2 linked regions of the Ovis aries genome follow. The protein of the gene in region 1 binds, or shares a complex with, the protein of each later gene. Links are inferred from orthologs where the notes say so. Each region holds a gene or a part of one and is shown in the gene's direction. Other genes may lie near its edges.

Region 1 (3,748 bases):
CTCCTGGGTTAAGCCTGCGCTGGGCTGGGAACCGAACCATACCCCACCTTCACCCCACCTCACTCCTGTTTATCCCGGGGAGTTCTCGCCGCTACCCCGGGCGCCCCTCGATCCCCAAGTCACTCTTCCTCCAGGCAGCCCTTTTCCCCAGCGGGGCGGGAATGCTGCCCCATTCCCATCGTTGCCCGCTGGGGAGGGTTCCTTGGGCGCTTTGCGTGGAAGCCTGTGTGTTGGGCCTGATGTAGGAGGTGAGGGTGCGGCGAACAGAAGCAGGGGCTGCCCCTGCCCCGAGGCGAAGAGCTGCAGGGAACGACCAGCGATGGTGTCGCGGTCACTGCGGCCACTGCGGCATAGTAGGGTACCGTGGCGCTTCCCGCGGGCTAAGGCGTCTGCGCCGCAGCCAGTGATCCCCGCGTCTCGGTGGCCACCTCCTGGTTCCCCGACCCACCAGGAAAAGATGCTAAACCCCGCGGCAGCCGCGCCCTACCCTGTCCCCTTAACGCGGCCTTCTTACCCAGCCTCCCTCCTCGCAACCTCTCCATCCACTACTAACCTCTCCCCAAACCTCGCCCACACACACAGATACACACGCTCCTGAGAATTCCCTGGAACCGGGACGCTGGTGAAGGGGACTGGGCGGGAAGGAAATCTCTAAGAGAAAAAGGGAGAAATCTGAGGGGTGGGGTGCGGACAGGCCCCCTGGGCGGGAGGCAGGACAGCCCCCGGGCGAGGGGCGGAGGGGCGCGGGTAAGTCAGGAGCAGGAGAGCGGGACGGAGAGTCACCTGGCTGGACAGAGGCGGTCCCGAGCTTGGGAGGGAGGCGAGCAGAGGCGGGGCGCGCAGAGGAGGAGCGGAGGGACAGGGGCCAAGGTTGGGGGCGGGAACCAGGCGGGGCGCGAGCCTCAGCCGGAATCGCGGCGGGAGCAGGTGGAGCCGCAGCGGGAGCTCGCCCGGGCGAGCGCTGGGAGGCGGCGGCTGAGCCGTGGCCATGGAGCTGCTGAAGCCAAACCGGAGCGTGCTGGGATCCGGACCCGGGCCGGGAGCTTCCCTGTGCCGCCCGGGGGGCCCCCTCCTCAACGGCAGCGGCACCGGCAACCTCAGCTGTGAGCCCCCACGCATCCGCGGAGCCGGGACACGAGGTGGGTGCCTCCCTAAGCCCCCTCCGCGAGCTCCTTCTCACTGCACCCCACAACACTCACGGAGGCCCCCATAGCCTCCTCAAACGCCCACACCATCCCTTCATAGTACTCCCTCCGTCCCCAGACAGCTCCCCTGACACATCTGTCCTCCACAGCTCATAGAACTCCATCACAGCTTCACACTACCTGGTCACAGTCCCCTCACACCCTGGTCCCCTCGCCACCCCCAGAGCTCTTGGTCACCCCCAAAACGCATCACCTTCACCAACACACAGCCCACTGCTAGACAGAGACAGTGGAAAGGCAAGGACCTCCTCTGGCCAATCCCTTCCAAGTCTCCTTTCCTCTTGCAGTCAGTTCAGGCAGCCTCAATGGGAAAGGAAAGGAAGGAAGAAAGGCAAGACTGGGGGGATGAAGGGGGCTGGCTGCTGGCAGAGGCGGTCTGGAAGACCTGAATGGGAAGTTACAGTCAGTTACAAACAATTACAGTCTCCTGTGTTGCCCGCCCCAACTCCTTGCCTTCCCCAAGAGATCCCCTAACCTGAATTAGGCTGGATGTTGGGTTGGGGGCTGATCTCCTTTGCCCTCTTCCTCAAATCTCCTTGCCTCCCAAGCTGGAGTTCTCAAGGCTCTATACCCTCTCTCTTTTGGTGTCTCCAAGTAATGTCTCTAGGTCCCTTCCAAGCCCCCTCTCCAACCTGCCTTTCCTTAGGTTTCACCCTTCTAGAGCCTGGCTGCCCCATTCATCATCCCGCCCCTTGGGCCACCTTTCCCTCCCACCCGCAGGCTGCTGTCACTCACCCAGTCCCTGAAATGACTTTCACTCCTCCCTTCACTCCACATCTACATTTTCTTGATGACCCAGCTCCAGTCATATTTCCCCTTCCCATACCTTTTCTTTCCTTAAGTGGTTACTAGACAGCTGCTACTATAGTCCCTAGGCTAGGTGCCAGACACACAGGACTAAACTAGAGCCAGTCTGGACTCTCATCTTCAATGCAGGAAAGAGACAAAAACCAATGGGAGAAACCACAGTCAGCATTTAGAATTCCCATAAGAGGGACCAAATTGTGGGCACCCAAAGGAGATGAGATCTGAAAACTTCACAGAGGGAACCTTGAAGCTGGAGTTCAGGAGGCAGAAAAGTAATAAGTGGGATTCCAGGAGAGGGAACAGCATTAAGCAGAAGGAAATTATTCCAAGCTCTAGAAGGGAAAGTGGGAATAAATTGTAATTGAAGGATTTATTTACCTCCATAAAATATCAAAGGCTTTCTCAGCTCACTGTTATACACTCTCTCATTCTTACACTTGGATACTTTCACTCAACAAATATTTATTGAATCAGAGATTGTGCTAGACACTAGGGACAGGAGTAAAACAAAACTGACACGGTTCTTATTTCAAGGAGCTCACAGTTCAGTCGGAGAGACAGACAAGTAAGCAGGGATTTGCCAGACAACGAGGGACGTGCCTTGAGAGGGATGTGGGAACATAGATGAGGAGCACCTCTAGCCTAGCTTAGCCTTGGGAATCAAATTTGACCTTCTGAGGAGGTAAAGGGTAAATTGAAAAAGAAATTAAAATGCTGAGGGAAGTACTCTGTGACAACCTAGAGGAGTGGGAGGGGTGGGAGATGGGAGGGAAGTTCAAGAAGGAGGGGCATATTGTATACATGTGGCTGATTCATATTGATTCATGGCAGAAAACAGCACAATACTGTGAAACAATTATCCTCCAATGAAAAATTTAAGAAGAAAAAACCTGAGGGAAAGTCAGCCAGATGAAGGGGCACAAAAGGCAAAAATCATCTCAAGCAGAGGAACAGTATGTATAAACACCCAGAGTTTAAATCCATGGCACTTTCGTCCAGTGTATCAGTTTCTGAGTGCCTGGAACATGTACCATAAGAGAGGAATGGTGACCACTCAGGATGAAGGCCAGCCTAGAGAGACTCCAGAAAAATGTGTGGAACTGTCTAAGGAGTATGGATTTTATCCCAAGGTCAATGGGAACTGCTGGAAGGTGAAGTCGTGCTGCCAGGATTAGTTCTGTAGTAAAGAGGGCGGATTGGAGGACAAGAGATGGGCAGAGGGGCATCCCTTTGAAGGCTACTGTGTTACGCTGGCCCTGGTGAAACAGGATACTGGCTTAGGCTGAGCTACTGGCAGTGGAGATGGAGAGAACTGGATGGATTGGGGAGATACTTCAGGAAGTGAAACCCACCGAACTTAATGATTTATTAGAAACGGAGAGGGAAGAAGAGGTCAAGGGGCGACATCTAGGTTTCTGGCTTAGACAACTGGGTAGTTGTGCTGTATATTGAGGATAATAAGGAAGCAGAAACATTTGAAAGAGGAGATTATCCATTCAATTTGGAACCCACTGAGTTTAAATGCCAGTGAAATATCCAGGTGGAGTTGCCCAGTAAGCTGTTGAATCCAAGGATCTGGGCGGTACAAGCTGGAAAGGAAGACTTGAAAGGTTTTTGTTTGTCTAGAGGAGGTAATGAAAGCCATGAAACTAGATTAAATCATACAAAGATTGTGTCAGATTTAAAAAAAAAAAAAAAAAAAGAGGTCCTGGGATAGGACCTTGAGGAAGACCAAG
Region 2 (3,748 bases), on another chromosome or scaffold:
CAGCCTACAGAACAGCCAAGGGAGCGTAACCCCCTCCTCAGCAGAAATCAAGTCTCAGTTCCTGTACAACCAACCAGGGCTCTGATGAAAGCTTACAACTTCCCGTTACCATAGCAATGTGAACATCTCTATTCCCCCAGGATGTGAGCAGAGCTGCTCCCCACCCCACCTTTCCTCCCAAGCCCCCTCAAAGTCCCTTCCATCTCTGAGATTCTGTGATTCAATTAATTATCAACAAGGTCTGCCCCGTTTTTGTCATTTTCATGTACTCCATCTGCTGAGTCACTGAGTCCTGCTCCAGAAGAGACTGGTTATTTATCAGAACATTTGGCTACTGGTTGCCATGGACACCTCACAGCCTGCTTCTTTCATCACCTATTAATTCTCAGTAAGGCTGGCTGTGAGCGTGGGTACCATAGCCCCTTATACAGGATCCAAGGGACATCAAAACTCCCCCAGACAGGGAGGGGGCCTGTTGACGCATGAACAAAAGCAAAATCTCTAGTCTCAACTGTGGAAAAATCGAACACAGCCTAGAGCTAGTTACATCCATCCAAACCAGGTCAATGCAGCAGTTTATCAAATAAGTCAACTAAACATACCACTCGATTTTCTGGTTTTCTGGCAAACGCTTTAGTCTGTTTGTTAACCACTTTAAGATGTATTTTTATATTGAAAGGTGCAGATTAATATCTCACTTTGAAAACAAAATGAGGGAGGGAGCCTGGAAGTGTACGAGCCTCAGGGAACTGGCTGAGGGCAGGGTGGGGGTAGGAAGGAGTAGGGGAGGAGGGGCAGACTTGAGAAATGATAGGGAGCCACAAGCTAAATCCAGCTCAGTGCAGAGAGCATCAAGGGCATGGGAGGGGGGACACTCAGGATTCTCCAGGTAAATCAGGTGAAGGGGCTTCAGAGGCAACCAGGATGCAGTCACCAGGCAGAGAGAGGAGGGCCATCAGCCCACGGCCCATTGCTCCTGATAACCGTGACACATCCTGTTTGCAGAGCCTGACAGAGGGGACAGAGGATCAATACCTCACTCCACACTCACACACTCCCTGTTCTTCAAACATCAACCTGTCGTGAAACACGCTTTCTCTGAATCTAAGGTCACTTGGTTCATCTAAATGGGATGTGGTCCAAGGGATGATCAGCAGGTGTCTGACCCTAAGGACACGGCAAGGGACTGTACCCCTGACCCCAGGTTGTCTGTCTCCCACCCGCCCTCATGTCCAGCTGAAAAACTTGCCCCCACCCTGCTCCTACCCCTCACCGTGAAGGTCAGCTCCCCTTCTCTTCCCCCACATCCGGATGACGATTGAGGACAGGGTGGGGCGGGGGTAAGGCACCTGTGCCCACCCCTATTCCTCTGCACTGGGGAGCCTCCCCTCCTGGGAGGGGGAGAGGTTTGGGAGGGGCCTTGAGGGTTTATAAGTCAGGGCTGGAACACCCAGCAGAGCGGAGGAGTGAGGCTTCGGGCCAACACCAGCATCACCCACCTCCCAGCTCCGCAGGTGAGACCACCCAGGAAGGGAGGGGAGAGGCTGGGACGAGGGTTGATGGGACCCCTACCCTCATTAAGTTACCAGGCTCACATCTCAGTGTCTCCGGGGCTGAGACCCTTCCTTTAGCCCAGAGCTGGGTTAGGTCTCAGCTCTAGGATCCACCCTGGCATCCCAACCCTTGCCTTCGAGCTGCCCCACTCTCTCAGCCAGGGCCCTGCCCTGACTCTCTGGCGCCATGCTAACCCCAGCCCTGAGGGGTTAGGATGAAGGCTATCCTCCCATCTCTCAGGTAAGAAAACTGAGGCCCAGAAGGAGATGTGACTTGCCCAAAGTCATACAAATTGGACAGGATTGGAACTGGAACTCATCTCAAGCTATTTCATAGACCAGCACTGCCTCATGGAACTTTCCATGATGGTGGTACTGTTCCATAGCCTCACTGTGAGATACAGTACTGGCCAGCCACATGTGTGCTAGAAATATGGCTGTGTGAGGGAGGAATTCTTTTAATCTTTATTTTCATTTATTTATTTGGCTGCCCCAGGTCTTAGCTGAGGCCTGCGAACTTTTAGTTTCAGGATGTGAGATCTAGTTCCCTGAACAGGGATCAGACTTGGGCCCAGTGCATTGTGAACTGAGGTATAGCCACTGGACCACCAGGGGAGTCCCAGGGAATTTTTAATTTTGTACTAATTTAAATGTAAAGAGCCACCTGTGCCTGGAGGCTGCCATATTGGACAGCATTGCTCTAGAGCATAGATTTTTCAACTTTGTGTCTTTAGCAGAAGAACCCTTCCTCTCCCAAAGGAAATTTAACAGAGAAAACAGATGAAAAAAGTATTTCATGTATACAAATGTGTTCTTTGAAGGCAATATTCTTATCATTTGCTTTCAATATAGCCAATCAGAACAATGAGGCTGAAAGAACATGAAACTTTCGAATCCTCAGAATAGAATTTTAGATTTGTTTGAGCATCCATTTTATTTTTGTATTCTGGTTTTCCCAAACTTGGCTCACCTTGATACAGAGCTGCAAATGGTGACAGTTTCCGGGTCTTTTTTTTTTTTTCAACTGGTAGATTGTAATCAGAGGAGATGTGCATGCTAAGTCACTTTGTTCATGTCCACCTTTTTGCGACCCCCATGGACTGTAGCCCACCAGGCTCCTCTGACCATGGGGGTTCTCCAGGTAAGAATACTGGAGTGGGTAGCCGTGCCCTCCTCCAGGGGATCTTCCTGACCCAGGGATCGAACCCGTGTCTCTTATGTCTCCTGCATTGGCAGGCGAGATCTTTACCACTAGCATCACCTGGAAAAAATCAGAGGATAGTCCTTAGTTAAATGAGAATGGCGGGAGAAACTTCCCTACCACAGTGGGACCCCACCATGCAGTGAAGTTGCTGTGGGCTTCAAAGAGATGCTGTGTGCTTCTGAGTGTGTATATCTCATCCATATTAGTATTTAGAAGTTCACTTAAACCGCAAGACTTTAACATTATAGAGCCACTCACATGGCCTCAAATTCTACAGAACAGTTTGGAAAGCCTTGCTCTGAGTTATAAATTCCTTGCCTTTAAAAAAGGCAAAGGTTGAGATTGGAGGATCAGGGGAGGAGATGGTAGGACCAGGAGGAACGGTCCACAAGCCCATGGAGAATTGCTGACCTGTCGGCAGGGAGGAGGGTCCACCCTGCCCCCGGGTGCCTGGACAACCCCACCTTTAAGCTCAGTCCCTCTCTCCTTTGCAGACAAGATGCAGCGACTGTGTGCTCATGCGCTGATCTTGGTGCTGGCTCTGGCCGCCTTCTGCGAAGCTTCTTGGAAACCCCACTCCCAGCTGCAAGACGCGCCCGTCGCTCCAGGGGCCAATAAGGGCCAGGAGCCTCTCAGGATGGACCGGCTGGGCCTAGCCTCGCACCCCCGCCGGCAGCTGGGGCTTCAGGACCCGCCACACATGGTCGCAGGTAGGAGCTGCTGACAACCGTCCCTGCTTGCCTCGCCCTGCCTGGTTTGGCCAAAGCACCCAAAGCCTGGTGGTCCTGGCCACGGTCTCTAGAGCCTAGATGTCCTTTCCCCCATCCTCACCTCCTCTCCCACCTCTGACCCTCAGACCTGTCCAAGAAGCAGGGGCCATGGGTGGAGGAAGAGGAAGCCGCATATGGATGGATGGACTTCGGCCGCCGCAGTGCTGAGGAAGGGGACCAACATCCCTGAGAACTGAGCCTTGGAGCCCAGTCACCTCCTG

The links.
Region 2: the proteins of CCKBR (region 1) and GAST are in contact, whole or in part, in a cryo-EM structure (PDB 7XOW), measured with the Homo sapiens proteins. The link is inferred for Ovis aries from reciprocal best matches to the Homo sapiens genes CCKBR and GAST. Residues at the interface, in NP_795344.1 of Homo sapiens: Cys107, Pro114, Asn115, Gly118, Thr119, Phe120, Met134, Gly135, Val138, Tyr189, Gln204, Cys205, His207, Leu222, Val349, Tyr350, Ala352, Asn353, Arg356, Pro361, Ala363, His364, Leu367, Ser368, Ile372, His376, Tyr380; in NP_000796.1 of Homo sapiens: Glu85, Ala86, Tyr87, Gly88, Trp89, Met90, Asp91, Phe92.

Annotation. Positions count from the first base shown.
Region 1 is NC_056068.1:46,513,860-46,517,607, reverse strand, and holds the start of CCKBR (gastrin/cholecystokinin type B receptor), read left to right. Parts: upstream 1-895; 5' UTR 896-988; coding exon 989-1,139; intron 1,140-3,748. UniProt on the Homo sapiens protein: Receptor for gastrin and cholecystokinin. The CCK-B receptors occur throughout the central nervous system where they modulate anxiety, analgesia, arousal, and neuroleptic activity.
Region 2 is NC_056064.1:41,660,199-41,663,946, forward strand, and holds the start of GAST (gastrin), read left to right. Parts: upstream 1-1,460; 5' UTR 1,461-1,514; intron 1,515-3,251; 5' UTR 3,252-3,256; coding exon 3,257-3,467; intron 3,468-3,613; coding exon 3,614-3,717; 3' UTR 3,718-3,748. UniProt on the Homo sapiens protein: Gastrin stimulates the stomach mucosa to produce and secrete hydrochloric acid and the pancreas to secrete its digestive enzymes. It also stimulates smooth muscle contraction and increases blood circulation and water secretion in the stomach and intestine.